2 linked regions of the Saccharomyces cerevisiae S288C genome follow. The main gene of each other region encodes a partner of the protein of the gene in region 2 in a complex. Each region holds a gene or a part of one and is shown on either strand. Other genes may lie near its edges. The genes, in order: KIN28 and CCL1. A codon is read from its position in the direction of its gene.

Evidence for each region.
Region 1: the proteins of CCL1 (region 2) and KIN28 are in contact, whole or in part, in a cryo-EM structure (PDB 6XI8), measured with the Saccharomyces cerevisiae proteins. Residues at the interface, in NP_015350.1 of Saccharomyces cerevisiae: His51 (codon at 2,139), Ser52 (codon at 2,136), Ser53 (codon at 2,133), Arg56 (codon at 2,124), Phe168 (codon at 1,788), Leu169 (codon at 1,785), Lys172 (codon at 1,776), Ser173 (codon at 1,773), Glu174 (codon at 1,770), Asn175 (codon at 1,767), Val180 (codon at 1,752), Arg191 (codon at 1,719), Leu195 (codon at 1,707), Glu198 (codon at 1,698), Phe199 (codon at 1,695), Leu202 (codon at 1,686), Glu203 (codon at 1,683), Phe207 (codon at 1,671), Leu209 (codon at 1,665), Leu210 (codon at 1,662), His212 (codon at 1,656); in NP_010175.1 of Saccharomyces cerevisiae: Thr40 (codon at 13,395), Lys44 (codon at 13,407), Asp45 (codon at 13,410), Gly46 (codon at 13,413), Leu47 (codon at 13,416), Met49 (codon at 13,422), Ile52 (codon at 13,431), Arg53 (codon at 13,434), Lys56 (codon at 13,443), Tyr57 (codon at 13,446), Gln59 (codon at 13,452), Glu60 (codon at 13,455), Gln62 (codon at 13,461), Ile72 (codon at 13,491), Met74 (codon at 13,497), Asp77 (codon at 13,506), Arg152 (codon at 13,731), Glu159 (codon at 13,752), Thr162 (codon at 13,761).

What each region holds. Positions count from the first base shown.
Region 1 is NC_001136.10:254,502-269,587, forward strand, and holds KIN28 (TFIIH complex serine/threonine-protein kinase subunit KIN28), read left to right. Parts: upstream 1-13,196; coding exon 13,197-13,224; intron 13,225-13,305; coding exon 13,306-14,198; downstream 14,199-15,086. Other genes in the region: IWR1 (Iwr1p), read right to left, coding at 1-473, 544-625; YDL114W (short-chain dehydrogenase/reductase), read left to right, coding at 1,103-2,029; ATG20 (Atg20p), read right to left, coding at 2,132-4,054; TRM3 (tRNA (guanosine(18)-2'-O)-methyltransferase), read left to right, coding at 4,414-8,724; exosome non-catalytic core subunit RRP42, read right to left, coding at 8,812-9,609; TMA17 (Tma17p), read right to left, coding at 10,011-10,463; YDL109C (putative lipase), read right to left, coding at 10,757-12,700; MSS2 (Mss2p), read left to right, coding at 14,420-15,086. UniProt on the Saccharomyces cerevisiae protein: Catalytic component of the TFIIK complex (KIN28-CCL1 dimer) which is the protein kinase component of transcription factor IIH (TFIIH) and phosphorylates the C-terminal domain of RNA polymerase II during transition from transcription to elongation after preinitiation complex (PIC) formation, thereby positively regulating transcription.
Region 2 is NC_001148.4:612,270-628,777, forward strand, and holds CCL1 (TFIIH complex kinase subunit CCL1), read right to left. Parts: upstream 2,290-16,508; coding exon 1,108-2,289; downstream 1-1,107. Other genes in the region: i-AAA protease YME1, read left to right, coding at 1-455; alpha,alpha-trehalase ATH1, read left to right, coding at 3,110-6,745; YPR027C (uncharacterized protein), read right to left, coding at 8,156-8,989; YOP1 (Yop1p), read left to right, coding at 11,258-11,308, 11,442-11,933; APL4 (AP-1 complex subunit gamma), read right to left, coding at 12,200-14,698; CSR2 (Csr2p), read left to right, coding at 15,611-16,508. UniProt on the Saccharomyces cerevisiae protein: Regulatory component of the TFIIK complex (KIN28-CCL1 dimer) which is the protein kinase component of transcription factor IIH (TFIIH) and phosphorylates the C-terminal domain of RNA polymerase II during transition from transcription to elongation after preinitiation complex (PIC) formation, thereby positively regulating transcription.

The sequences.
Region 1 (15,086 bases), on a different chromosome or scaffold from region 2:
ATGCTCAATAATTTTCACAAACCCTATATTTTTCTCGTTGTTATATCTAGCAACCTCATCGTCATGAATTTTCTCCAAATGGTAGATGTCAAAAACGTAATCTAAACTGGGTAGTGATGCAATTTTTGCAGAATCCCCAGTAAAATATTTCCTACTTGGTTTTTTTCTTTCTGTCTTTTCTACACCTTTATTCAACTTTAAATAGTCATTCACCATTTGATTGATCTCTGGCGGTAACCCATCGTCATCTACAGTACTTCCTTCTGCTGCAAGCCGCTGTTGTGATTTTTCATCATCTGAGTCTCTACGACTTTTTTTTCTTTGTTCCAATACAAAATGTCGATGATCTTCATGAGCCAGTTTTAAGAGTGGCGTAGAAGACTCTTGCTCGGATTGATAGCTTTCAGAGCTCACAGTCTTTGATAATTTAAATATGAACTTCTGCTTCTTCACTCTTTTCCCCTCATCAATTACTGAATTGTCCCAGATGAACTTAGTTAGTCAAACGCATTTTTGTTATATCGGTAGAATAACAACACATACATAATGCCTGCACAGAATCCTCATCCCTTCTTCTCTTTACTCTGATAAACTCAGGTGCCGTTGTGGTACTAATAGTGCTCATTCCCGAAATCTTGTATGCCTACCTCAACAAAAGCTATACCTCAGAGAGCAGTTTTATATACCATCTCTTGTTCTCATCAATAACTTGTCTTGAGCATTACACAATTTAAATCCCCTGTGCCGACACAAACAAGAGATAACCCGGAATCAATATTATCTGATTGGGCTCCTAAATATCGCATCTGTGGACTTGAATCCACATGCTGCGAACTTATTTGAAGCAACAATTACTTCTGTTGGAAGCGTGGTAGTGCCAAATCAGACTTGCTCTTTAGTTTTCTTATGTTAACGCTTTACTGCCTTTTTCTTCTATATTTTTGAACGTCAATATGTAGCGGGCGTCAGCAGAGGAACAGAATTTGTGACACTTCTTGAATGAACATTTCTCATATCTGAAACCGCATCATCAAAAGGACACCTCAATAGAGATTCAGTGACATATTTAACATAGTTTTATGGGTAAGAAATATTATTAATTATGGTACGCAAGAATAAAATAAATAGAGCGAGTGGAACTACAAAACACCTCAAGGATTTTCCATCAGTCATCCTAAGTCTGCCCAGCTACAACCCTTCCATCCTTTCTAAAAATGCAACTGCACTAATAACCGGTGGTTCTAGTGGACTCGGATTTGAACTTGCAAAGGAACTTTCCAGAAGAATTAATAAAGTTATTGTGGCAGATATTCAATCATTTCCTACTTTTGCTCAGGTAGAATATAATAACATTTTCTACTATCAATGCGACATAACAAGTCTAGATGAAATTAAAAATTTGAAAAAAGCTATTGAAAGAGATCATGGCAACATTAATATAATTATAAATAATGCTGGTGTTGCTCACATCAAAAAGTTAGAACATATGACAAACAAGGAGGTAGAACAATTGATCGACATAAACTTAATAGGTGCTTACCGAATCATCAGTACATTTGCAGAAGATATGATAGACAATAGGGAAGGCTTTATAATTAACATTGCTTCAGTCCTCGGAGAACTGACTCCTGCAAGGCTGACATCGTATGGTGCATCAAAAGGAGCAATGATTGGTTTTCACAAGTGTATGAGCAGGCATTTCAGAAGTTTGTCCACGGAATGTAATAAAACTGGAATAAAAACACTACTGGTGTGCCCGGGAAAAATCAAAACTAATATGTTTATTGATGTCCCTACACCATCTAAGTTATTGGCTCCTGACATCATACCTTCCCAACTGGCACTAGCGATAATCTCTGCGATGGAGCATAATCATCTGCAAACACTAAATGCCCCATATTATGTGAACCTAGTTCCCTTTTTCAAAACTTTGAGTTGGCCATATAGGCATCTCTTAAAACATTTCAGTGGAATGGACCATGTAACGTCAACCAGCCCGCGAGCAATAAATCCGAAGAGAAGTGCATAATATTTTAGTCTATTTAATACATTTGACGTTATTTGATCTTCACGTTGTTTATATATATATATATCAAGTATGCTATAACGCTAAAAAAAAATGCTCATAATACTATGCAAAATCTTGATGTCTTTTGACTTCTTTCCAAATTTCTAAATTTTGACGGGCATAATTTCTCATATATCTGGAATAATGCTTTAAAATTTCTGATAAATCTACTTCCCTTTCTTTAGAAAATTTAGGTAGCTGGTCATTTTTGATGACTTTTGAAATGACCTCCAAATCATTCTCAGTAACTTCCAATGATTCAGACAGTTGTTCAATTTCTTTCTTCAAATTGATACTTGCGGTATGCGGATCTGTTTCTTGATACTTCACAGAATCTTTTACCATTGATGCCAATTTGTTAAATCCATTGAATAGTTTGCCACCATATGATTTCCCACCGCTACCTGTATTATTATTAGGGCGTTCCAGATTAATAGTATGACTTTTAGACATTTCGTTGTCAATTATTTTGTCAACATCCTTATATTCATTGTTTTGCGCTTCCAGCTTCTCCAACTGTGCTCTTTTGGAATTCAGAGACTTTTTAATCATTTCATTTTGCAGGTATTTCAATTTTCTGTATTTGATCAATTCTCTTGCAGAAGTTGCCATATGAACAGATTCATTTAAAGGCTCATTTATATTGTAGTATAGTCTTCCAACTAATTTTTCTAAAGAAATCGAGGACCCCGAAAAGGCATTGCTTAAGTAAGAAAGCTGTTCGGCCAATTCCCCAACTTGAGCCTGTTCATGGGCAAACTGTGCAAATACCTCACCGATTTCATTGTAATCCGATTTCAAATCGTGATAAGTCTTCGTGGTTCGTCTATTATACTTATAAATCCCGTTATCTAACAAGTTCTCATATTGCTTGTAATCCTGTTCAATATTAGTAAACGACTTACTTCTTTCCTTATCCATTTTTTTGTCGTTGGACTCCTTATTCAACAATAACTGTGACGAGGAGCCCGGTATTGGTAACATGGCATGAATTCTAGTGGTGTTAGTGGGATCTAGTGGATTACACTGGAGGATGCTCTTCGGTAAAGATGAAAAAGTGGACGAACTGTTAACAAATTCATGCCAATTATGGTTATTAGGATCCAAAAAATCGGTAATTATAGATGTTTTTGTGATTTCTTCGTTCGTCAAAAGTTTGTTCAAGAACTCAGTGAGCATTCTTATCCTATGCCGTATTAACTTTTCATCACTATTATTGACCGACGCATGTATCACAGACAATGATAGATCTACTGAACCAGAACCTTCTGAGGGCAGCAAATACTTTGAACTCGAACCAGTTATTGACTTACCATAATTCTTTATTGACTGCTTTTCTGGAATCGGCGGTATCAACGTCATAGGAAACAATCTTATCAAGATACTTCTCAAACTCTCGAAATCGCTGTAACGTCTCTGAACGGTAGAATTTTCAAACTGAATAACATAGGCGATGTAGGCTCTTCCTTGACCTTCGGAAACTCTTTTCGCTTCAAGTATGTGTATCCTAGCGGACTTCTTTCTATTACTTACAGAAGGTTCTTCTGACGCAGAGGTCTCTCCGTTCATGGAGTTAATACTTCCACTAAGACTTGTTCTACATGTTTCTGCATTCGATTCTTGGTTTAAAGGCAATAATCCCTCAGAGTCATCCTCGTAATCTTCATTCGGGTTCTTTAGGTTATGGCTTCTCATACCGGGTATTTCTAATAAAGCTGATTTTGTGAATCCTGTTGGCCCCTCCTCCATGAATGGGTTGTCTTTTTCTAACAGGGCTGTGTGTACTAACTCAGTTTCTACTTTGTTATTGTCCCCCTTTCCAACCTTACCCTTTTTTGGGCTCTTTTTTGGCGATCCAACTCCATTCTTAGAAATTTCTGCCTCTGCCACATACTCAGTTGTCCCATGAGGTGGTTCAGCCTTTCCTGTATTCCGAGTTTCCGAATTCAATTTAGCATTTTCTTGGACATCATTTAAGTCTGACATTGTGTGCTGTAGAAGACAACTTTTCTAGATGGTATGTTCAATTGCACCACCAGTATTCGAGCTAGTCATCTCTTCATTTTGGAGATGACTTGCTGTAAATCGATAAATATTGGCTTACTCAATAGCCATATCTTAAAGGGGGCACAATGGGTGAGTTGTCGGGTAAGGGAATGTAGATCACGTGAATGAAAATTCAAGTGTTTTTCGAAAAGTTTCACCATGGCGATGAGCAAGATTGAAACAGCACTATTGTAACTATATAATTGCTAGTAAGCAAATAAGCCAAGCCTTATTAAAATCCGGTGAAAAGAATTGTTTAACGAACGTTACAAACTCTATACCTTTTTTTTACCAGCAAAATGGTTGGAGGTGCTCTCATCTGCAAATATTTACCACGCGAAGAGCAACTAAAGCTTATATCAGACTTGATTCAGAATGACAGCTTAGAAGAGGTGCTGGAGTTGATTGAAACTTCGCCACTGGATATAACGACGGACAGCAACATTGAAACACCAATCTTTGAAAAAATTACTGAGCAGGTCATTGCGTATGCTAGTATAGACGGTGAAGCCAGGGAAATGTTTCGCTCTTCGAGGGCTGAAATGAACAAGGCGCTAAGAACTTCTGCACAATTACTATGTTGTTTACCCAGTGTATGGCATAAATTTCAGGTGTGGATGAGCTACCGGTTAAATGACATCATTAGCGAAAACTATAAACATCTCTTCAATGACAACTTTGGAAAAAAGATTGTACAACCATTTTTCGATTCTTTTGCTGAGGAACAAAACGCTAATATCAAGCATGAAAATCTGCACTTAGATATCCTTAGCCTGCTTCACTACTTAGAAGTTGTATATTTATTTGACGAATGTAAGAATGGTATATCGTCCAAATGCCTAGATTTTATCATTGTTCCATTGTTAGGCTGTAATTCGGAAGAGATTGCTGATTCCTGCTCCAAGTTAATGAGATGGCATATCAAATATTTATCGAAATGCTGCAATACCGATAGTAACTTTGATAAGCTCATTTGGACATTTATCAAACAATTGTACGCTGAAGGCTCCCAACAAGCTTGGAAGCAAAAGAACAGTTTATCTTTTCTCCTAAGATTCCTTTTAGCAGCAGAGTTGTCTCCTGAACTTATTACTTATATAAAGACCGATGCTTATTGGAGGCACATTCAAACAGAGCTGGATAATGATGTGCACGAACACAGAAAATTGGCACTCTCAATTCTTAAATTAACAATTCAAAAACTGTCATCTCATGGTATAACATTGCAAACAACATTTTATAAATGCAATGATCTAGCAAATATCGAGATGCTGGGTAGCTGGAAGAAATTCACCACCTTATATGAAATGATTGCTCTGGACACATCATTGAATCAAATACAAGCGGCCAAACAAGATATAATAAAAATTTTTGATAACGAGCATTTACACCATAGTTGGGGCCTTATCTTGCTTTCTACGGGATTGAAATCATCAATGGAGAGTGTCAGAAAATACATGATGACGTTAATGTTCTCGATTACAAATATGTCAGCATTCTCTTCAAACTTGCCATTATTGACAAAAACTCTTCTTCCAGCTGCAATGTCCGCTCATTATTTTGATGTAAAAGGTGTCAGTTGTCCCCATGGTGAAAAACTTTCATTATTTGTCAATAACTTACTTTCCCAAACAACAGAAGGCATATCAGATATATTATTTGAAATTTTGAAATTATTGGTGGAAAAAGGGACCTCTTTTGACCCTTCTAGGATATACTTGTCCTACGGTATCTTAGTTTTCTTCCAGAATAACAAACAGAAAACAATCAACTCTGACCATTTGAGTCTGATCAGGAAATTGTACGATTTTGCAGCCGAAGAAGAGGTTCTCGAAACTACAATCCAAACAATTTACTTGAAGTTCTTACTGTACATTGATCCATCTGTCTCCGCATCTGAATTATTGTTTACATTAGTTTCACACATTAAGTTAAAGGGAGGGACATACAAATATGTTGAGCCTCTTTTTGAAGATTATAGGGATCTTGCCGTTTCTCACTTTGACGATTTGCAAGCGAAAGAAAACTTGACGACAAACATCGGAAAGGATACTATTTTTGACCTCTTAGCATCTATCATCTTCGATTTCAAGGATATTGATATTACTCCCGATTTTTTAATTGAAGTTGCGAAGTCGAAGCAAGATATACCCGTTTACACTTCAAAGGCAGTTACTTTTCTAACTCAGCTACTTTCAGGCGAACCTTCGAACGGTTATACCTATGAAAATGCAACCGCTTTGTTGTCTTACCCAAATTTTACAATATCTACATGGAAATCCATCAATGTGAATAATTTATTTAAGTCGGTAATGGAAAAATTTTCGCTTGATAAATTCAAGTTCTTTGCTGAAATTTACCAGAAGACTTATGAATGTAGGTTCGATACAATCGAGCTAAATTTTAATGACCTTCTGAGCCTATATGAAATGGTTAAAAAGTCTGCCAATCAGTGTTCAAGAGAGAGCTTTAAAGTGAAGGACAGCGCTTATTCTTCTTACTTTGAACTTTTAAATACCTTCCTGAAAACATACGCCTTAAATCGTGACTCTTCTGAAGGAAATGATGATGAGCTTCACATACTACTACGCTTAGTTGACGAGAATATTAACAAAGATAATGGGAATTATCTGGGGAACCTGGCAGTCTGTAAATTATTGTACTTTATCATAGATTCCTACATCCATTGCTCCACATCTGTTTCTGATGATGATATTTTCATAGTGAAATTCATTTTTGAGAAATTTTCGTTTATATGGGAATGTATTAATAGTGAAAGATTAGTTTTGAAGGAAAGGGATCTGCATTTGATGCTAATTAAGGGATTATTTCATCCTGTGATCCTGTACTTTGGATCAAATCAGTATATCGATACTTTGACCTCGAAGTTGGAGGAACATGCACAAACGATTATATCATTGAGTTATTCCAGAAGAAGCCTACTCCCTCTTCTCGGATCACAACTCAGAGTATTTATGAAGTTTTATGGGAAATTGTTAAGAGAAGATGTCAACTATTGGTGGTTGATTAACATTATAGTAGGTGTTTTCAAACAGCCGCAAATGGATGTCAACCTTTACAAGCTCAAACCTGTTATTTCCAGCCTATTTGACCACAAACTGAACAATTATTACATAAAAGGCGATGAACTTTATGAAAAGGTGTACGGACCCGACGAAATATTGGCTAGAGTATCTATTATTGATTCTATTTTATATGCAAATGATCAGTTGAAAATTCGATTAATCGAAAAAGTTACTGAAAAAACAAACGCACTTTATGCTATAAAGAGAACCGACGGTGCCGAAGCGTTACAGAGGTTGTTGCAGTGGCAATTGTTATTATTATCACTACTAACCACCAATGAAAAAAAATTAAGCGAAACTAGCATGATCAGAATTCTAAAGAGTATCGAGGATGAAAGTTCACCACTAGTAAGAGTATATAAAGAATGGTTCATTTCCTCAAAGGTTGTTGATTATTATAAAACTGGCAATCCAAAATTTGCTGAGGATTATCTCTTCTCATTGCTGGAGGATCATAGCAAACCGGTGTTTGTAGTTAGCGCAGAAAAAATATGCTTTATGGTGTTGAAAGATTTAAGAAACGACGAAAAGAAATATGGATTTACACAGTTACTAGACAGATTCATTTGCACGTTAGTTCCTAACGCAGCTTCAAACAAACCTCTGGTAAGGCATTTTTCTAATTCTCTAATAATTTCATTATGGCCTACATTCAAAGCCTACCTATCGGATCACACACTGAGAAACATCATTGAGAACTTATATTCCAATGCCAAAAAGACTCAAATATTTGGTCAATATCGTGCCGGGGATGCCAACATATGGGATCTGAAGGGTGATAGGAAATTAACGAACATGTTTGGTGGTGTGCTCAAAAAAGTTACCGACCATGATTGCCCGTACATTTCTGAGTCTGTTTTCGAAAAATATTTGCAGGAGAAAGATATTGTTCCTATAGGTACCGATGAAAGGTCCTTATGGCTTGATAAAAGAGACACCAATACGGAATCTGTTAACAACGCGAACATCTCCTGTGACACTTCTCCACTGCAAACAAAAAGTGGAGCTTGGGAAACCGTTCTGGATCTGGACAATAAAAAATCGAATGATGTCGTTACACGTTCTGAATTGATTGTGGTATCTTCATTAGTTGATAAGCCGCCAAACCTGGGAGGTATTTGTAGGTTATGTGATGTTTTAGGTGTGGGACTGCTTACTGTACAAGACATCAAAGTCAAAAACCATCCTCAATTTAAAAATGTTGCTGTGACTGCTGATAGATGGATGCCCATGGAGGAAGTTGCCCTAGATGAGATTGCAAGTTTCATGAAAGAGAAAAAGAAGGAAGGGTACACATTAATTGGGCTAGAGCAAACGGATAAATCAGTGAAGCTAGACAACAATTTCCAATTCCCTAAAAAATCATTGATCTTGCTAGGAACCGAAGCATTCGGTATTCCGGGGACTTTGTTAAGCGAATTGGATTTATGTTTAGAGATTCAACAATTTGGTGTGATCAGATCAATGAATATTCAAACGGCAACCGCAGTTATCGTTCATTCCTATACAGTTCAACACATGTAAGAATCAGGTTTCATTCCCACTTTTGTTAACCATGAAGTTTTTAGTATGTAAACTAATTTGTCTTTTTATCTAATTGTGACTATATTTTTATAAATTCTCCAGTGATCGTACTACGTCGGGGGCGTATTTCTCCACCATTGCAAGACCTTGCTTCAACAAATGAGGTTTAAAGCTTTTAACGTTTGAATCATTCAATGCTACTGATCTGATAGGTGATGTAATCTTACCATTAGACCAGGAAATGATTAGGCCATTATTGGCCACTTCGCTTTCGTTGGCTGCAGGGTCCAATAGCATATTGTTGCCTACAACGGCCAATATAAACACTAAAGGCGGATTAATGTCAAGCTTAACCATGTCGTAATCATGAAACGTAGGAAGTTCTTCCACCTCTAAGTCGTCAAAAGCTGAAATAAGTTTCGGTAGGTATGTGGAGTTCAACGCTGAATAAATAGCAAAGGATATTAAAGAAACTGGGTGTGAATGTGATGAAATGACCAGAACATCGACAAATATTTTGAAGCTGTACTTTTTTGTCAATTGCAACTTTGAGGAATCTACTCCGCTACCAGACTTCAAAACCTTGTTCAGTAAAGAAGTGATTGTCTCTACTACCAGCGCGTCATCTCTTTGGCCTGCGATATCTACATCGACCTGAAGTAGTTCATTCTCCACATGATGATCCACAACTTTGGACTTAATGCTCACGATACATTCACTTCCATCACTAGCTATAATTCTGGACGATCCATTGGAACTTGGTAGGAAGTCAGTAAATATTTCTATAGGTCTGAATTGATGAGGTAGTCTTCCATCGGGCCTAATTGAAGGCGTGCTTGCTAGTGAATCGTATAGGTACGACTTTTCGGCGACCGAAAGAGACATAAATGATTATTTCAACAGAATCTCAAACTGTCGTTGTGCTAGTCAAAAAGAATGCCTTTTGCCGTCTACAGACTATTAGTATCATTGTACTCCTTCACCATATAAGCTCTACGTTTCTTTTTTCTGAATATTAGAAAAAAATTTCGCCAACTAGGGTTCAAAATAATAGACTAGGGCACGGAAGAAAAGCACACCCTAGGGCTTTCGGAGATAAATTATTAATAGCGAGTTTTTTTTGTATTTACTTATTTTATTATTTCTTTAAGATATCTAGTAGTAAGGATAGAACGGGTAGATAGAATAGACAAATGGAGTTATTGAAATATTTATACGAAGAGATAGAACAGAGAGACAAAGAGTATGACGTGAAAATGATGCGCAGTAAAACTAAATCCCGTCTCTTAAATGAATATGCTGTTTGGTGTCACGACGTCCACATTTGAATTGTCCATGTCAACGTCAGGGCCCTTGTTGGTGTTGTCCTTTGCCTCTACCTCGTGCTTACTCTTGCCATGGCCCGTCTTTCTATATACCGTTTCTTGCTCCAATGCGTCCACTCTCTCATTGTAATTGTTTAGCACAATTTCGTTCTCCCTGACAGAGTCCTTGTACAGCGCCAGGTCTCCCGAATCAATGTTCTCCAAGTCGTCGCTGTCGTCAGCTTCAAGACGGTCGTCAGCACCCTCCAACTTAGCTATGTATTTACCCAAGCGGGCGTTAGACCTCTGCAAATGATTGATACTGTTCTCAATTTCTGTTTTAATCTGTGCCAACTCCATGTCGGACATGCCGCTTATCGCCGTCTTAAATTCTTCGATCTGGATTGGTCTTCTGATACCGCCTGCTGAGCACATTATGTTACTTGTAGTAGTTATTATGTTTTGATTTGCTTTATGTTTTATAAAGATCTTACCCCTCTTTTTGTCAAGAGAAATAAGCTTCTGAAGTATTGTTTTCCTGGTGAAAAGTGTCTTATTTATATGGAGAAGGGATATTCGGCCTCGGTTTTAGGGGAGGAGCTGAAGAGTTGTCCCGCTCGAAAAAGACCCGTAAGCGCATTTATCGAACTACGAAGTAAAATGGACTTTCGTAGGTGTGGACAATAGTAAATTGCAAGTCAATCCCGGGATGACGTCAAGATAGACAGTCAATCTGTCACAGAGGAATGCTTGCTAATCCAGGAGCTGGCGAGCTGGCTAGCTGTGGAGACTATTCCACCATGGTACACACTAGGATCCTCGATCTTGGTGAGCCATGAGTAGAACTTGTTTGGTTCCACCCCTCCGGTTGCCATGTTTATATCTTCCTCAGCAAACTGTTTATCTTGCATTGGTGAGGCGATTGGGTCATCTCTTTGGAAATGGGCGGTAACAAGGTGGTCAACCACCGGCCAGCCGTAAGCGTTGGAAAACCTTCTTCTTACGATGATGTTATTGTGGGCATCTGGTTTCAGCAATACCACGACTTTCCTCCAATGCATCCCCTTGTGCCAGCGGCGTGCTATGATTTCCTCCATCTCTTTTCTCGTCTTCCTCGTTTCGCCTTCCTTGGCTGCTGTTCCTTCATAAAGTGTTGGTGATGGAGGCGGTAAATTCTTTTCTGTGTAGATCTTATCATGTATGATTGTTGCGACCCTTGCATCGGGATCTGAGAAGAACTTTGCGTCGGGGCATGGTGATAGAAGCACAGACTTCATAGATTTGATGACGGAAGCATTCATCAAGCGTTTAGATTTCTTGTCGCAGTTATTTTCCTTGCTCTTCCAAAACGTGTTCCATGACGATGCATTGATTCCATCATCATCATTAGCAACATCGCTATGATTTGGAAGTTCCCCAATAGGACTTACTTCAGGCTGGAAGAGAGGATCACAAGGTGCCGTAGTTTGACCTCCCAGTTTCTGAAGTAATTGAGAGTAGTCCAAAAAAAGTAAAGAAGAGGAGTACAAGGGAACTATTCCGTCGTTGACGGCATTAGCATAAAGTGTTCTTCTTTTGAATCGAGCAAGCACACTGATTAAGGATTCCTCGGATAGCAGGTAAAGTAGGGGCTTATCACCATAATTTCCATCCTTAAGACCCAGTTCTTGCCCCGTAGTACCAATGATACCCATCGACAATGACATTTTTACGTAATTGGGCGTGCTGGTAGCAATGCCTAGCAATGGTGACGCCAGTGAGATAAAATTGATTGGCTCCACTTTCTTAAAGAAATATGGATATTTGGTCTTTATGTAACAAATAGCAAAAGTTTGTGTTAATCCACCCAGGGAATGACCAATAAATGAAATTTTCCCAACAGAGTCATCATATAACTCGTCGATGATGTAGTTTGCCAATCCAACACCCAAAAACTTAATACCCTTCTCAGTCTCACAAGCATTCTTCATATATCCCTTAATAACTAGTCGCTCATTTGGATTGTTCATTTGAGCCTTGTATATTTCTTCCATTAAGTATTCCATATCTGCCGAAACGTTTGATTGAAAACCATGCGTGAGAATGACTAAATGGGATTTTTGCGACATGTCTATGGGTCGTGGTACTTTCCATATATCTGCGGTGGTAAGTCTATGCACCGATAATCCTGTGTGTAAAATATTGCAGGCTTTATCAGGCAATGAATCATTACATCGTATTTTTCTTTTCAAAGAGGCCTTTGAATTGCCGACTACTATCTCAAAAGTTACCTTAGTTTCTTTATTAAATAGTATTTGACTGACAATATCCACTATCCATACATAGCGTGGCTTAATGTGGTGCAAGGACAACTCTGCAATAAACTTTTGTTGTGCCTGTAGGTTTGATTGAAATACTGGTTTATCCGCCGAACATATGATCTTATACGAGCTTTCGTAATCTTTTGCTCGCACGTCACAATATAAGATAAATGGGCCCAATAGATAGGCTGGTTTATAGGATAGCTTTGTGGTATTTTTGATCTTTACCCATAGGGAATCCAGTGTGATATCAGCGGGAATACTATCACCCTGGTATAGCTCATATGTAATAACGTATCTTTCTAACTCACCTAACTTTACTGACGACTGATTGTGGTATAGCACTTCATCAGCACTCCTGCCAGCTTCCATATTACTACCGTTTCCCCGATGTTTTTGGGTGAATAAGGTCAGGTGAGCATTTTTTGTACTGATATTTTTTCTCTTTGTTTGCAGACACAACGCTTGCTGTTAATACGCTAAAAACATACCACACTACCTTGAACAAATCCTCCAAGAGAAATTTGTAAGAATTCAGAAGCGGTTTCAGGGGAAGTCGGCTTAGTTGTCAATTGTAATTGAAAATCACCCTCTAATTTGAAAGATTTTCAGTTTCAATAAGACATCAATCTTGCCAGTTTGTAATTTTTTGGTATATAGAAATGGTCTTCAAGCATAAGCCTTAAGAAAGATTCGTCCATTGGATGAACCTACAATTTTTTTTGTGTTATGATGTGAAGCTTCATTTGAAGCATTGTGCAGAGAATATTACAAGTAGATTCAAAAAACACATTGAAAAAAAATACAAGTGAAATCACAGTTACTTAAAAGTCATCAAAAAAAATATTCCCGGCCTCAGAGCGAACATATGAAAGTGAATATGGAGTACACAAAGGGTATGTGGGGGTTATATATTGTCGTCTTTCTTTTAACATTCAATAATGATACTAACGTTGATTAATGATGATTCATCGCAGAAAAGAAAGTTGGTGAGGGTACTTATGCGGTTGTTTACTTGGGTTGTCAACACTCTACTGGAAGAAAGATTGCTATTAAGGAGATCAAAACATCCGAATTTAAAGATGGTTTAGATATGTCAGCTATCCGTGAAGTTAAGTACCTCCAAGAAATGCAGCATCCGAACGTCATAGAACTAATAGACATATTTATGGCTTATGATAATTTAAATCTCGTTCTGGAGTTCCTACCAACTGATCTAGAGGTGGTAATAAAAGACAAATCAATACTGTTTACACCAGCAGATATTAAGGCATGGATGCTTATGACTTTGAGGGGCGTGTATCATTGCCACAGAAATTTCATTTTGCACAGGGATCTGAAACCAAACAATTTATTATTTTCACCTGATGGCCAGATAAAAGTAGCAGATTTCGGTCTAGCAAGGGCGATACCGGCCCCACATGAGATACTGACAAGTAACGTCGTAACAAGATGGTATAGAGCGCCAGAATTGTTGTTTGGAGCTAAACATTACACATCGGCTATTGATATCTGGTCAGTAGGCGTTATATTCGCGGAATTAATGCTAAGGATACCTTATTTACCAGGACAGAATGATGTCGATCAAATGGAAGTAACGTTCAGGGCCTTAGGGACACCTACAGATAGAGATTGGCCCGAAGTTTCTTCCTTTATGACGTATAACAAGTTACAAATATATCCGCCCCCTTCAAGAGATGAATTGAGGAAAAGGTTCATTGCTGCTAGCGAATACGCCTTAGATTTTATGTGTGGAATGCTAACGATGAACCCACAAAAGAGGTGGACCGCTGTTCAGTGTTTAGAAAGTGATTATTTCAAAGAATTACCACCACCAAGTGACCCGTCTTCAATAAAAATACGTAACTGATATGATTTTATAAAATTTGTAGAATCTGTGTTATTGACATTAGATGTATCCTCAACATATACAAATAAACTTCTTGATGCGTCTTGTTTTTTGGTGTTGAATTTTAACTCTTTTCCATCATTATGGAATTCGTTTTTAGATTTTAACAACAACAATATGAGGGGAGACAAACAGTAGCAGACGAAAACGAAAACAAAAGCAAGAAATATCTGATCTAAAATATGCAGAGGTTTGTCAGTAAGTTTGTTTCCACACCACCAGTACCCAAAAAGTTTCAAGAGATTTTCCCGAAGAAACGTACGGTTAACAAAATTTTATTCCAGTTAGATACAAGGCTTACATACCATGAAATGTACCCGATATTTCTGCAGGTATCACAAAATACTAATGAAGAGAATATCCCATGGAGGAAGAAATACCCCTATATAAGGAGTTCAGACATTATGCAGATGCGAAACGTCTTGATAACTCTAAGGACGCAGAACAAATTCGTCCACAAAGACTTATTAGCTATGGAGGATAAATTATTGAATATTGCTGCCGAACTTGGCAACAACGATGCTATATCCATCCTAAGCTTCAACGTGATACATGAATATAAAAAGGAAAACGTCAAATCCAGTTATGAAAAAGACATTGAAACGGCTAATGAATTCATAAAGAAGCTGTATGCGCGTAACCATCATTTAACGGTTAAATTAATAGGGGACCTGTTTTTCGAAAACAAAACTTACGATAAGGCTGAGAAATATTACCAAGAGTTCTTGAAATTGGAAAATAGTACCAAATTGGCAGGCGAAGTTCACGGAAAACTTGGGGAAATCCAAATAAAGCAAGTCAATGGTTTTTTGAAGGCAGAAAAGTCATGGCTGAGTTGTATAGAACTGC
Region 2 (16,508 bases):
GGGGCAAAATTGCAGAAGAATTAATTTATGGTAAAGATAACACCACAAGTGGTTGTGGGTCTGACTTGCAAAGCGCCACCGGCACAGCAAGGGCTATGGTTACTCAATATGGTATGAGTGATGATGTAGGTCCCGTTAACTTGTCAGAAAATTGGGAATCTTGGTCTAATAAGATTCGCGATATTGCTGATAATGAAGTGATTGAACTTTTGAAGGACTCCGAGGAAAGAGCAAGAAGACTATTAACTAAGAAAAATGTTGAGCTACATAGACTTGCGCAAGGTCTTATTGAATATGAAACTCTAGATGCCCACGAAATCGAACAAGTTTGTAAAGGTGAAAAACTGGACAAACTGAAAACTTCCACCAATACAGTCGTAGAAGGACCAGACAGTGATGAACGTAAAGATATAGGCGATGATAAACCCAAAATTCCTACAATGTTAAATGCATGATTTTATTCTAAGAAGTTAAACGTATGAAGGAACCTACCTCAAGACCGAGAATGCTTTGTTCTTTTCTGGTCGGTTTCGCTTTTGCTTCATAACACCAGCAATGAAGCATGATCGCGGGAAACTTTCAGAATCTACATCTTCTCCTGGTCAGCTTGAAACTTCAGATTATTCGTAAGGAGAAATTATAATATTATTTCTGTGATAAGAAAAGAGGCATTAAGCTTGGGTATTTGCGACAAAATACTTCAGGATAACCGATGATCGCAAGTGGGTTATTAATTTCTTTCATCCCTTAACCAACCGTCGCTTTCCCCCAGTGACAAGCCTTAAAAAAGTCACACCATGGAACGGAGTATCGTTGATGATTAAACCAATCATTAATCTTTCATAAAAGTTAAGATAAAAGCACTTGTTGATATATATAGGTACATGTGTATCAATACGCCATACATTGTAAATAGAATATTCAATGGATAAACGTGTGTAGCAAAAATAATCACATTGTAGCGCTAGTTAGCAATTTACTCATTGTCACATTTTTTGCAGTATATATTCATGGCATGAAATAATATAAAATGGCGCCGGTCTATATACCTATGCATCTTAATCTATATATATATATAAAACAGAAACCTACGGTAACAGAGCTGTTTCATGTTTTTTGCTTTTTCTCAACGGTGGACGAAGTATCTTCTCCATTCAACTTCCTTTTTAATTTCTGAATCAGTGTTGATGGATTTTGACAATAATAGTTTTTTGCCGCAATTTTCTTGGCCTCTTCAGTACTCGGAGGTTTACAATCTTCAATAATACTTTTACACTCGCGTATTATGGTTAGTAACTTCGCGGAGTCTATCGAATATTCTTCGCTCTCTGTGGACTTCTCTTTGTTTTTCTCAGTTGTACTGGCATCATTTTGTGGTTCTTCTTTTTCGTTTCCCGGTACTGATTCCTGGCTACCTTCTCTGCTGGGAAATTTTGTTTCTAAATACCTTGTGACCAAGGCTTCATCCTCAATCAATAATGTTGCTAGTGTTATTTGGGGTGGAGTGTAGAAATATACGACATCGGTTAATAATGCGGCAGTTATTCTCTTCTTACACCTATCGTATATTTGGCCCATGTAATTTAAATCAACCTTACCATAAAGGACGTTCTGGATATCTAAGAAAAACCCATGAAGCGGTTTGTAAGGATGATGGTTCAACAGTGAAAATTTCAATGATTCTAACAACTTAAACTCGAATTTGAGAACACTATCTCTAGTAGATTTGGCCTTTTGAGCAAACGAGTCCACGCTAATAAAATAGTTCTCCGATTTGCAGGCTAGAAAGATAGTAGTATGTACAATACTTTTAGGATCTATTTGCATAACAGAATTTTCTAAGAAAAAACGCCTAAAAAAGGATATCGCAGTGGCCACTACTTCGGTTGGCAAATTTAGATGCTGTGCTATTACCTGAACTTTTTTTGCGTAGAAATTCACCAAATCGAGTTCTTCTTCCATTGTCAAAGGGATAGCCTTTGCTTCTAGTACTTTTATTTCTTCTTCTGTTAAATTGTGTGCTTCTCTAAATTTTAATAAATTTTCCTCAATGTAAGCAATCGCTCGGGCATTGGTATCTACCCTTTTCTCCTGAAGTTGATCTTTAGTGTATGACCACATTCTATACTGAGAAGAGTGCCTATATAAATCATCGTCAGAAATTCTTTTGTAGTTCGGTGGCTTGTTATTCTCATCAGCCGATTTTAATTTTGCCTCTTTTTCTTTTGCTGACATGGTAGCAGAAGGAGTATCTAATGTACTCTTTCCATTTAGTTGAATATCCGTCATTCTATCAATATCTGTGCAGCACAGTATTTTCCTCTCTTAAACTTAATATTCACTCATTTGTTTGAGATCTTTCTTAATATAAAAACTGTGTTAAGATCAAATTTATTACCCGGATTGTGAACGGCTTAAACAACGAAGGGATACCGCAGGAAATGAGAGGCCCTTTCTTCTCTGGATGGCAAACAGTTCGTGCTATCAAAGTCTGTACCAAGGTTATTTCACTCTTCAAGCCAGCAATAACTACTTTCTTTCAGGTCACCTCTCAGCCGTCACGTCTCTAGCTGAAGCTTTGTTATTCTCGCTTCACTAAAAACAAGTGTATCTACAATATTTACCAGTCTATTCGTATATCCCTTATCATTCTTTTTCAATAAGGGCAAATACTTCGGAAAAAGAAAGGAACATTCATCTTGATTCTAGCCGTAAAGCTATCACGTTCACTCTAAGCAAGCGGAAAGTTGAGCAAAATCAACGAACAATCTGAGTCAGCAAGGCAGTACAAGCATCTCTTCTTTGCCCCTCAAAATTTATTTCCTTTTTGGTATAGTCTTACTTCCAAGTCCAAGCAAGCACTACGTATCACGACAAACCAACAGCCGCGCCGTTTTTATATTCGGAAAGAGAATTCTTGTCGTTATTGAATAATAATAACAAAATTTCTCCACTTTTCACCATATTACCACTCCCTTTTTTTCAAGTAAAAAAAAAAAAAAAAAGAATCTTATTGCTCCTTAAAAAAGGATTCATCAGTCCTTTATGAGAGCCTGCTAGTATCACCTAATATTGCATCTGTTTTTACCGAAATTTCCTCATTCCAATAATGAAAAGAATAAGATCGCTTTGGTTCAATGCGGAGGCTTCTTATTCAAACCTTAACAATTCTCCTAGTTTGAGGAACAAAAATAGTACCGGTAATAACTCTCGCTCTAAAAATTATCGTTCTTTCTCAAGGTTTGACTTGATCAACTCTATACTTTTACTGATGATGCTATTTTTATTAGCTATCTTCGTCACTGCATTATATTTAACAAAGAGTTCCAGGCTTACATACTCACATGCCTCGAGGGCTGCCCTATTTAACCCTCTGGGTGTGATATCGCCGTCATTGGGAAATCATACGTTGAACTACGATCCAGAAGCAAGGGAATCTTCTAAAAAACTTTATGAACTCCTTTCTGATTTCAACACGGCATATTATGATGATGAGAACATGATTTTGGGAAGTAACTTGTTCTCAAAGAATACATACTCGAGACAACCATATGTTGCTAACGGTTATATAGGTAGTCGTATTCCCAATATTGGGTTCGGCTATGCCTTAGACACCCTGAATTTTTACACAGACGCACCAGGCGCTTTGAATAACGGTTGGCCCTTAAGAAATCATAGATTTGCCGGTGCGTTTGTATCGGACTTTTATTGTCTACAACCAAAACTAAATTCAACAAACTTCCCAGAATTGGATGATGTAGGATATTCCACTGTCATTTCATCTATTCCACAATGGACCAATCTACAGTTCTCATTAGTGAATGATTCTAAGTGGTTCAATCCACAAAATGTTACGTTGGATGACGTAACTAATTATAGCCAAAACTTATCAATGAAGGATGGTATCGTAACTACGGAGTTAGATTGGCTAAACAGTCAAATACATGTTAAAAGTGAAATCTGGGCACATCGGCACATTCATCCACTGGGAGTGGTTTCTTTGGAAATTTCCCTGAATACGGACCATTTACCTTCGGATTTTGATTCATTAGATGTTAATATATGGGATATACTTGATTTCAACACATCACATAGGACTGTTCTACATAGCACGGGAACAGACGAAAAAAATAATGCGGTTTTCATGATTGTTCAGCCAGATAACGTTCCATCTTCTAATTGCGCTATTTACTCAACGTGTACTGTAAAGTATGAAAATTCCACCAATCCAATAAATTCTAGTGAATCTTTTGAAGAAAAAGATGTTTCTTCTAATATTTATAATGTTATTTTGACAGAGGACCAACCCAAGATAATCGTTCATAAGTATGTTGGTATTATGTCTACTGAGTTCAATAAGAACAAAGAACAACAAGACAATACTAATATTGGTTTGGCCAAAATGATAGCTCTAAACAGTAAAGGCAATTACGAGAAGCTTCTGTCAAGTCACAAACGTGCGTGGTATGACCTTTACAACGACGCCTTCATTGAAATTCCTTCTGACAGTCTTTTAGAAATGACAGCAAGATCGTCCCTATTCCATTTACTAGCAAATACAAGAGATTACAATGTCTCGAGCGATAGGGGTCTTCCCGTGGGAGTTTCTGGTTTGTCATCAGATTCCTATGGTGGTATGGTGTTCTGGGACGCAGATATATGGATGGAACCTGCCCTATTGCCTTTCTTCCCAAATGTGGCTCAAAATATGAATAATTACAGAAATGCTACACATTCGCAGGCAAAGTTAAATGCAGAGAAATATGGATACCCCGGAGCAATATACCCCTGGACATCTGGTAAGTACGCTAATTGTACTTCTACGGGACCTTGTGTCGATTACGAATACCATATTAACGTTGATGTCGCTATGGCCTCCTTTTCCATATACTTGAATGGACACGAAGGGATTGATGACGAGTATCTGAGATATACTACATGGCCAATTATCAAAAACGCAGCCCAATTTTTTACTGCTTATGTTAAGTACAATTCTTCCCTAGGATTGTATGAAACATATAATTTGACAGATCCCGACGAGTTTGCTAATCACATCAATAACGGGGCTTTCACGAATGCTGGCATTAAAACACTTCTAAAGTGGGCAACAGACATTGGCAATCATCTCGGCGAGGTCGTTGACCCCAAATGGAGTGAAATTTCCAAAGATATTTATATCCCTAGATCCTCATCTAACATCACTTTGGAATATTCTGGTATGAATAGCTCAGTGGAGATTAAACAGGCGGATGTGACTTTAATGGTTTACCCACTTGGATATATCAATGATGAATCCATATTGAACAATGCAATTAAAGATCTTTATTATTATTCAGAAAGACAGTCTGCGTCTGGGCCTGCAATGACATATCCGGTTTTTGTGGCCGCAGCTGCTGGTCTGCTGAATCACGGCTCTTCTTCTCAAAGTTACTTATATAAATCGGTTCTTCCATACTTACGGGCTCCTTTCGCTCAATTTAGTGAGCAATCAGACGACAACTTTTTAACAAACGGATTAACCCAGCCAGCATTCCCCTTTTTAACAGCTAACGGTGGATTTCTACAGAGCATTCTGTTTGGGTTAACAGGAATCCGATATTCTTATGAGGTTGATCCAGATACTAAAAAAATTAACCGTTTGTTAAGGTTCAATCCAATAGAACTACCGTTGCTCCCTGGTGGTATCGCTATTAGAAACTTCAAATATATGAACCAAGTTTTAGATATAATAATTGACGACCACAATGGTACGATTGTTCATAAATCAGGAGATGTTCCTATTCATATAAAGATACCAAACAGATCTCTAATACATGACCAGGATATCAACTTCTATAATGGTTCCGAAAACGAAAGAAAACCAAATCTAGAGCGTAGAGACGTCGACCGTGTTGGTGATCCAATGAGGATGGATAGGTATGGTACCTATTATCTTTTAAAACCGAAACAAGAGCTTACAGTCCAACTGTTCAAGCCTGGCTTAAACGCAAGAAACAACATAGCGGAAAATAAGCAAATAACAAACTTGACGGCCGGCGTTCCTGGTGACGTTGCATTCTCTGCTCTAGATGGGAATAATTACACGCATTGGCAACCCTTAGACAAAATTCACCGTGCGAAGCTATTGATTGATTTAGGTGAATACAACGAGAAAGAGATTACCAAGGGAATGATTCTTTGGGGGCAGAGGCCCGCAAAAAACATTTCCATATCTATTTTGCCTCATTCTGAAAAAGTCGAAAATTTATTTGCGAACGTGACAGAAATTATGCAAAATTCGGGAAATGATCAACTTCTTAATGAAACCATTGGTCAGCTTTTAGATAATGCCGGAATTCCTGTCGAGAACGTTATTGATTTTGATGGCATAGAACAAGAGGATGATGAATCTTTGGATGATGTGCAAGCCTTATTGCACTGGAAGAAGGAAGACTTAGCCAAGCTAATTGAACAAATACCCAGACTTAACTTTCTAAAAAGAAAATTTGTGAAAATTCTGGATAACGTGCCAGTGAGCCCAAGTGAGCCATACTACGAAGCAAGTCGCAACCAGTCGTTAATCGAGATATTACCCAGTAATAGAACGACTTTCACTATTGATTATGATAAATTGCAGGTGGGTGATAAAGGGAACACAGATTGGAGGAAAACAAGATACATAGTTGTGGCAGTACAAGGAGTGTATGATGATTATGATGATGATAACAAAGGAGCTACAATCAAGGAAATTGTTCTCAATGATTAAATGAAATGATGCATATAAGTAGCGCTTTTTTTAATATTATAAGTTTGGATAAAAGTTACCAATTTTTTCGTAGGATATATATTTTAAAGGCACTATATTGAAAATATCATGCATGCTTATATAAAAGCTTTTTTTTTTCTATAGGGTGACATTTAGGAGCAATAATTTTTACTACAAGCTTTTTTTGCACCTTATATAGTAGTGACCTTGAAATTGGTCTTTTGCACCAGCGTACTTTAATTCCACTAAGTACTGTTTAGCAGCCTGTTTTCCAGAGCCCACAACAGTTTTCTATAAAATTTTCACATGCATTATATAGACATGATCTACCTACCAATTTGATCTTCCTGCCATTGAGATCAGTTCTTTCATTACATTGATTGCACATTTTTAATTGGCGCCTTTTCTAATTTTTTGTATGAGTCCATATTAAAAAAATAGACTTCAAATTCCTACTAGACGATTCTGATTCCATCGGGATTACCACCAGATTTGATATTGGCTCTTCTCTCGTCAGTAGGGTTTGAACAGAAATATTCCTAAATTTCTCGCAACTTAAATTAAATTTGCAACGATAATGTTTGCATACATTTTTATATTCTAGATTCAATACATTAGAGGTAACTTGATGTAGCGCCAATCTGAAAATACAGAAGCCTACTAGGCAAATATTTAAAGCTCTATATACTATTCACGAAAGAAAAACGTACTTTGTATAAATTGAAGAAAATGAGTTTGTGTTAGTTGGGTCCTGCCATTTGGTATCCTGAAGGTTTTCTCAAGGTGGGGTGGGCTAATCTACAGGAATAGTTTATAGTAATTGTGTGTTAAGAAGTATTTTGGCTTTAAATGACGTCCCCCACAAATTTATTACTTCAGGTGTATAATGTATTCACAAATATGTTCGTTTCTTTTTTGCTCTTCATCGTCCCCAGTTTTTCCTCACCCTTACAAAACAAAAACGGCAGGAAAAGGGTCCTATGTAAATTAAGCAAACACTGCGGGGTAGAACCTAAATTTTAATGTATTTTTTTACAATCCAACCAAGATTAAACCAATTGCCGAGCTTTTTCCTTTCTCGGTGAAACAAACCTTTACAAAAGATACGCCAGAGTAAACGCATTCCTACAAAAAATGAAAGATCTTCATTATTTACACTCTTGTAGCCCACTAATCAATTGGTTTCGCAACATTGTTCAAAGGCAGTGGTTTCTTTTTCCCTGAGTATCCTACTATAGTACAAAAAAAAAAAAAAAGAGTGAAAAAATCAGAAGAGAAAATTATATCGATTATAAATTTTTCAAGTACATCGTCTATCGAAGCTAAAGACTTGAATAATTAAATTTCTGGAAATGGGACAAGTGTACTTATCAACAACGAATAAGGTATAGCAAAGTTTAGAGAATTATTTTAATTATCCCTATAAAATGAAACCGATATTTGAGATTTGTTTGGGCCTTTTTCTCTCCCATGAGCAGTGAAGCCTACAGCAGAACCGTCCCAATTTTCGTCGGTGATTTTTTCTGAAATTTGATAAAGCTGAGACTTAAAATTACCTGATATTTTTCTAATGTTTGATATTTTCTGGAAAACGCCATTAGCAATTCCTTGGCTGTTTTCGTTTAAATTGCCCTGTATGTCCGATAATTTATAATTTGTGAACTCATTTGAAGCGCCTTTTGTATAACAAATCTGCTGGGCCAAGCCTGGGAAAGGCAGAGCCGTCTTCTCGCCAAGTTTGAGAATCAAACAGTTTTGGTTTAGTTCACTTCCTGAAGTATTCATATTTACTCCTAAGTATAGGTCGAGAGGTTCAAATGTTGTTTTGATTTTTTCATTCACATAATTTGAAGGTAGCTCGACGTATTTTGGTTTAATTAGGTCATATAACCTTTGCGGTTCATTGATACCATCATTTTCGAGCTTGTTGATAAGCTCGATGATTAATGAAAACATTAAGATTACAACTCCTAGCCCACAGGATATCATATTGGCCGGATTTTCACCTACAGAAAAACATGATACCATAGTTTGAATTACTTGAAGTGTTAGTTTAGTGTCATCCAGTTTCTTTTCACTAACAGATTTTGTAGCGGCAGGTGCAGGTGCAGTAGAAGTTGATGTCACCGTTTCATATACAGTTTTGATGATTGTAACAGTATCTATCATGTCATCATCATGGAATGCAAAAAGAAGACCCAGGAGTGGGACGAACGAAGCAAGTATTCTGTAAATACCAACCATTTCTTTTTATCTGGCGCTTTATATGTTTATGAATAGTACGTTATGATGATTGTTTTTTTACAAATGTTTGTGAATTACACTAATGGTAATTCCCTCTTTAGTTAGAAGTAATGGAAAATTAGTACTTTCTAATTCTTGTGATCAACGCTTTTTCAACGTTGCCATCATCAACAGAATCTCGATCTGCTAGCCAACATCAAAAAGTTGTTTGCCGCACATCATGTAACCGAACTTTCAGTACCACAAAAACTAATATGCACGGCGCTTGAAAAGTGCTTTAATTTTGTAAACTATTTTGTTTTGTAAATTTCTAGGCAGTTGAGGCTACCGTCGTGACCACAGAAAGAAAACATCTTCAAAACACTTTAGTGACTGTCCATATAGCCGCCGAAGTTAGTCGCTGATATAATTTGAAACCTACATTATTATTTGTTCGTTTGGAAGACACGTTAGGTTTAGTATCAATAAACTTCCCATCCGAAACACTTATTCTACTAGTGTGTTTCATAATGCGTAAGCCAGCACGTATATATTCATCTCAATTTGTTACACACTTAACATACTATATAATTCCTGAGAAAATGCCCAGCTCATAAACATCGGTAGTCCAATTCAAGAACGGGGGAACTGAATTTGGGAGTAATCAAAAAAAAAAAAAGACGTTACTTCATCGTTTTTGTTGTCATTGTACACTTCTTTCATTTCTTTTCAGATTTAACTTCTCTGTCCGTAGTCGGCAAATAACGGTCCTTTAAATGCAAGGGATCATCAAGAGATTTTGAAAAACTGTGGAGCCAGATATTTATTTGTCAACTTTGGACATCTACCTTAGTCTGTCTGCTTCCCTCTTTTTGACCTCTTTTAGTAAACTCTGAGGTGGGATGACTGACTCTGACGGAGAAAGTATGTAGATATCTCAAGAAAGTATCAGTCCACGATATAGTAGGAAATATTATACAATACGTAATGGAAGCAAAGTGTGCTTCCATGAGTTTTAGACAAATTTATGTCCCTAAAACTTCGAACTTTTAACGGGAACAATTTTGGCCGTGATAAATTCTTTTCCAACGCTTATATTGATTATCCGTTATTGGTTTTTTGTTGGAGACATTAAAAGATGGCCAATGGCGTAAGAAAATTTTGAAAAAAAGTCAGACATTCAAGTTGAAAAACTCCTTCATCTTCCTACTTGAGTCTATATTTTCATTGATATTTCCATAAGAGAAGGAGCAGTCAAGTTCAAGAACCAACTTTCCGCAGTTGGCAGGTCGAAAAAATAAATGCGAATTCTGTGGATCGAACACAGGACCTCCAGATAACTTGACCGAAGTTTTTTCTTCAGTCTGGCGCTCTCCCAACTGAGCTAAATCCGCATATCAGAATGAAATAAACAAGCATTCTTGTGCTTTATAAATGGTCCAAGCGTCTAACTTTTAAAGAGTACATTCTAAAAGTAAGAGACGAAGACAACATTATAATAATTTTCTCAAGACATATATGTTTCACCGGCACGTTTTGTTTTGTCCCCTTTTATTTTGAGCCTGAATACTATGCTTTATAAAACTTTAATGCGCTCAACAAGTGCACCTTCCAACGGAAAAAAAGAAATTCAACAGGGAGCGATGCCATCATCACATGCACGTTTTCAAGTATTTATAAGACTTGCTACTTGCTCGTCCATTCATGACTTTAATGAGGTTCTAATTTATTGGTGCAACTCTTCAAACTAGCTGCCCAATCAGTGCTGGAATGAGTGCCAAGACAAGCGACAAACCCTGTCAATCTCCTGAAAAACAAAAATTAAGTGCTTGAGAAGACCTTCAGAAGAGTTGCATAGATAGGATGGGTGAGCGCAATTACTAGTTACGCAGTAAGTAGGTTATATGGCTGCTGGAGGGGCAGTACTGATTTAATCACAATCCGGATTAAACTTCCTCCTGAAAAAAAAAAAACTACATCAAGTCAAAAGATTTTCATTCACTCTTTGGAAGGCTGTGTGGCATTCTAACCTTTATTTTTTTATCACCATTCTCGAATTTTCGTGGTTCGCTTTCTTAGCGCCGTTATTCTCTCTTCTTGTCCACGTCAAAGGGAGTATGCGTAACCCCTTTCAAGGTTGAACGAAAAAAAAAAAAATATGTCCTTCAAAATTTTTTTTGATTTAAAACTAAAAAACATTCCCTTGAAGCTTGTTATTCCGAAAGAAAGAATCTAAAATTGCAATTGGTAGTGAAAACAAATAAACAAAGACATAACCGCACTCCAATCATGTCCGAATATGCATCTAGTATTCACTCTCAAATGAAACAATTCGATACCGTATGTAAGATGGTTTTATTGGTTCCATCGTCATCATGGTTCAAACAGCCAAATGACCCGACACACGTAACCGAAGCAGTTATACTAACAAGAAAGCTAATTTTCACCCTCCTTGCTACATTTTTTTCTACAGAAGTACTCTGGTAATAGAATTTTACAGCAATTAGAAAATAAAACTAATTTGCCTAAATCTTATTTAGTTGCTGGTTTAGGTTTCGCTTATCTCCTTTTGATTTTTATTAACGTCGGAGGTGTAGGTGAAATTCTTTCCAATTTTGCTGGGTTTGTGTTGCCAGCATATTTATCGTTGGTTGCTTTGAAGACACCAACGTCCACCGATGACACACAACTCTTGACCTACTGGATTGTCTTTTCATTTTTGAGTGTCATTGAATTCTGGTCCAAGGCAATTCTATATTTGATTCCATTCTACTGGTTTTTGAAAACCGTTTTCTTAATCTACATTGCCTTGCCTCAAACTGGTGGCGCTAGAATGATCTATCAAAAGATCGTAGCCCCATTGACCGACAGATATATCCTAAGAGATGTTAGCAAGACAGAAAAGGATGAAATTAGAGCTTCCGTCAATGAGGCTTCTAAGGCTACAGGTGCTTCTGTTCATTAAGAGGCAACTCACCTATATCCTCAAATCAAACTCTCGTTTTTGTTCTCTTTGTTATCTATTCTATTGAGAGCATATAAGTACATATGTTATTAGTTGTTATATATCGCTACTTAACATATAAAATATTTTGGAGTCGTTTATGGTGTCCCAGAAGATAGCATTTCTATTCATCGTGTTGTGTCGTGACGTGTCTCTTGATATGCGCGACAGACCATCCAACGCAAGGTCATTAATCATGTTATGTTCTGTAATTTTAAAGGCATTTTTTATAGAGTTTCATCGAATTTGTGATCGAACTGTTCATTGGTGATAGATGAAGAGCCATTTAAATGAAAATCCAACTTAACTCTTAACTTCAGTTTCCCAGATCCAGAAATTTTCAATGACTGCTTGCAAATTTGGCTGGCGTTTATTGTGGAAGATGGATATAACTGGCCTAGTGTTAGCTTTTGAGCTTTAGGAACGGCACAGAAAGTTTTTAAGTCAGATATTAAAGACTTTGCCTGAAAATATAAATCCAAATGTGCTAATCCAGAGTTTGCAGAGAGCAAGGAAGCATATACATTCAGTGAGGAACTGTCATATATCTTGTTGGCATCCAATGGTAAGGTGACACCTGAGTTTGCCTCCACTGCCGACGAATGATTGATTGATTCTTCCTTGTTCGCATTTTTGGGCACCTGAGCAATGTCATTCTTCTCTCCAAAAATCTCTTCTAATATGTCAATTGGTTTCACATTGTCACCAGTAGAAGCCTTGCTTTCAGCCTTGCTATCCTCACCCAATAAATCTGACAGCAGATCAACTGGTTCGTTGGAGATAAGGTTTTTCGATAGAGCTTTTCCATTATCCTGTTCCTCGGTAATTTTTTCAAATTTAGGCATTGTTTCTAAAATGATCTTCTTCACAGAAATTGACTGATTGAAAAATATCTCGTATTGATTGCTTTTCATTTGCAGTGATAAATCAGTGGAATCCGTGTAGCTCAATATCAGTTGTCTTAGTTTTTCAATATTTTTCGCGTCATGGAACCTCACAGATAATTTTAATGCTGCTGTTAAAATGTAATTGATTATCTTCAGATTCGTTGCTGTGTAGAGTTCTTGCAAAGTTAGTAAGTAATCAGTAATAGATGACTCATTGATTATGTCTGCACCATTTTTATTGCCCTCGTTGAGTACTAAATCGCCATATTCGCCAATGCACCAAATCAAAACCAACTGCCAACCAATATTTTCCTCGGAAATCTCCGCTGATGTTCCATTTAGTGAAATTGTCAGCATTTTCCGTAAAAATTCAGATTTGTCGGATAACTGGCTCGTATTATTTATTATGATTAGAATATCATTAATTTTTTCATAGTTGATAAACGATCCCACTAATTTTAAGATATTAAAGAAAACATCTAATTTCCAGCTTTCATCTTTGACAACGCGGGTATCAAAAGTGTCAATTAAGTGATCTATAGTGTATATTATGAGATCTTTTGAATCTTCATCCTGTTTTGCCAAAAATTTCATCAATTCGTTAACCAATTCCACTAAATTTGAATCGTCCAAGATGGCGAAGCTCAACTCTAACGCTCTCATGCGGATCGACACATCGGTATCCTGCAGACAATGAGAAATGAATTTTCTATGCCTTTGTACTGCGGTAGGCTCTTGGGGAACAACTTTTAATAAGGTGTTTAATGAAACGTATTTAGTATTATTATCTTTTCCTGCAAGAAACTTGGCCAAGATGTTAATACCAAGGACACGTAGAGGCTGGTTCAAATCCAACGAAAAGATCGTCTTCACGGTCTCATAAAGAATGGCCTGTCCGCTGTTTTTCGTTGAATCCGTATTCGTCGCAATACGAGTCAATAAATCGCAGAAATTATCTTTGTAGTCCAAAACATTGTTCGAATTTAAGAGCTCACCAACTTGAAAGTATAGTTTTAAAGTGTAAATTATTTCACACTGCAGAAATGGGTCACAAATACCTTGGACATCATATCCAGGTTCAATATTTTTAGAATTCATATTTTCCAAACGAATGAAAAAATCACGCAAAAGTAAAGATAATGGAGACAAGATGTCATTGCTGTAATCAATACCGTCTTCATCTTCATCCTCATCTTTTTTTCTGTTCAATCCAATTAACAAAATAGATTGTATGATTTTCGTAACGCCTAAAAGTACACCGTGAGTACATATTGAATGACTAGACAATATCTTAGTAATGTCTTCGATGTTGAAGATTTCTAAAAGTGAAACGTCTTTGAAAATTAGTTTGGCAGCACATTGAAGCGCTTTTTTCAAGAGGAAAGGGTCTCTTGAATTTTTGATGATATTTTCGACGTCTGGGTATAAATCTCTGGCTAATTCAGGGGAGCTCAAAAAGCCTAATGAGGTTAGTGCAAGTGACACTGCATATTTGTTGGGATGATGCAAATCGTTGTTCAACATGTTCGTTAAGAGTGTCAATAAATCTTCAGATTCGTCCAACAATAAAGTTGCGGCCAGATAGCCTAATCTTTTATCGACAAAATCGTCAGAAGCAATTAAATTGATAGACTCCACCTGACCGAAATGTGTCTTTTCCCCTAGAATGTATAGATACAGAAGTTTCTGGATATTTACTCGCCTTTTTTCATGTGGTAGATGGTCATCTCTCAATTTTGTCCTAATTTTAGCAGATTGTTTCGTTATAATTGCCCTTTCATCTGCCAGTGTTTTGGCACCACGAACGTCTTTGATAAAGCTTCTCAACGAAGAGCCCATTATGGTGTTCAGGTCTTTCTCGTTGCTAAATCAAGATGGTCAATATTTCTTCTCCAATATTAGCAGTATAAAATCTCGAAAAAGTATGATTTAGTTGTAATTCTCATATGGCCAAGCCCACTAAATTCAGTGAATACAAACAGCTAAGGACGTCAAAACTCAGAGTCGGGTAATCTTCATTTGAATTTTTTTTCTCTTAAGGTAGATAACACCAAAGAAAAGCAATCAGTAGCAAAATATGGACTTTAACGCTGTCAGTTCCAATTGAGAAATATCGTAAAGAAAGTTAGTTGTTTTCACTCGCAACCTCTCTACCTTCGTGGCCTAAAATAGATTTAAATAATCGAATAAACGGTTTGTTCTTATATGTGATACCCTCTTTCACCACCTTCCTGTAGCCCCAGTTGGTATTACTTGTCCCAACCTCATTCCTCTTTCCATTATCAATTAATCGGTTTGTGTTGTTCGTAGCAGGACCACACTTCCGGAATTATATACATTTACATGTATATAGAGAAGAAAGCTTCGGCGGCTAAAGAATAGAACCATCTATTACCCGCTCGCCCGGTCGTTTGGATGCGTGGGTGGTATAGTTTCTTTTTTTTCATTTTAAGGGATACCGCTCCCCACGTACCCCACGACCAGCCCTAGTGGAATAAGAAATGCAAAATCCGGGGTTGGCGCAGCGATTCTGCACGGCCAAACCCTGGGCTTCTTTATTTTGTAGATCTGCCAAATGATGGCTATGCCTTACTCGGTATCACATGGAAAAGACCCCCGGCTTATTGAATCCCGTCTCCCGTTCCCTGCATAGTTGTCACGGTTTGGACTATATATATCGTCGTTTCTCTGTTTTATTTATTATGATGGCTCTCCAAGGGTAATCAGTCAGACTAGTAAGCAAAGTCAATCATGCAATCTACTGTCCCAATAGCAATTGCGAGCAACGGCAACAAGAGAGATGTCGTCCAGAACGTTTCTGCAGGCGACGAGGGTGATATATTGCAAAGGCTAGCCCGTAACAGAGAGATGATTTCTACCTCCCTCTCGCCACAAAAATCGTCAGGATTTAGTGGTAGAAGGAGGTCATCTAGTGTTAGGGACGCCCTTTCTTCTTTTTTTGGAACTGGTAATAGTCCAACATCTAGTATGGACGATTATTCCAATTTGATGAACCGTAACTATTCTACCGCATCAACTGCCATGTGTAGGGGGAACAGTTTTCCTTCAGATGTTGGCACTAAGGCTTACAATATTACGGGATCTTACCAACCGGATAGGCACAGGAATTCTGTTCCGTATACCACCATAGACCAGTTACACACAAGGCAAGACACCGGGTTGAGGAGAGAGTCAGATCCAGTCGCGGCAAAACAAATATCTAGTAATAATGATATTGTTAGGTCATTCATAACACATCATGCTAGTAATAGCACTATGTTTATTAATAGGGTGCTATCGGACTATTTAGCGGATCGTGGTTTCATCAAGCAAACACCGTTATATAATAAGAAAAGTGTGCTGGAAATTTCCATTGCAACAAGTGCAGAATCAGTTTTCTTGCCAACTACAAAAAGTGATGAAACAGAGTATCTATCACTGATTCATGGTTCTTTAAATCAGGCGCGAACACAGCCTGTCGGGTCCACTAACACTGCAGAAAGTGATTTCCTCCCTTCATGTCCTACGATGGACACTTTGAATGAAAACAATGATTTATCACTATTTCCGTTACATACACAGCGAACCAGCCCCTCTAATACAGCAAGGACAGGTAATGCTATGGATACAAGCAATTCTGATCGTGCTT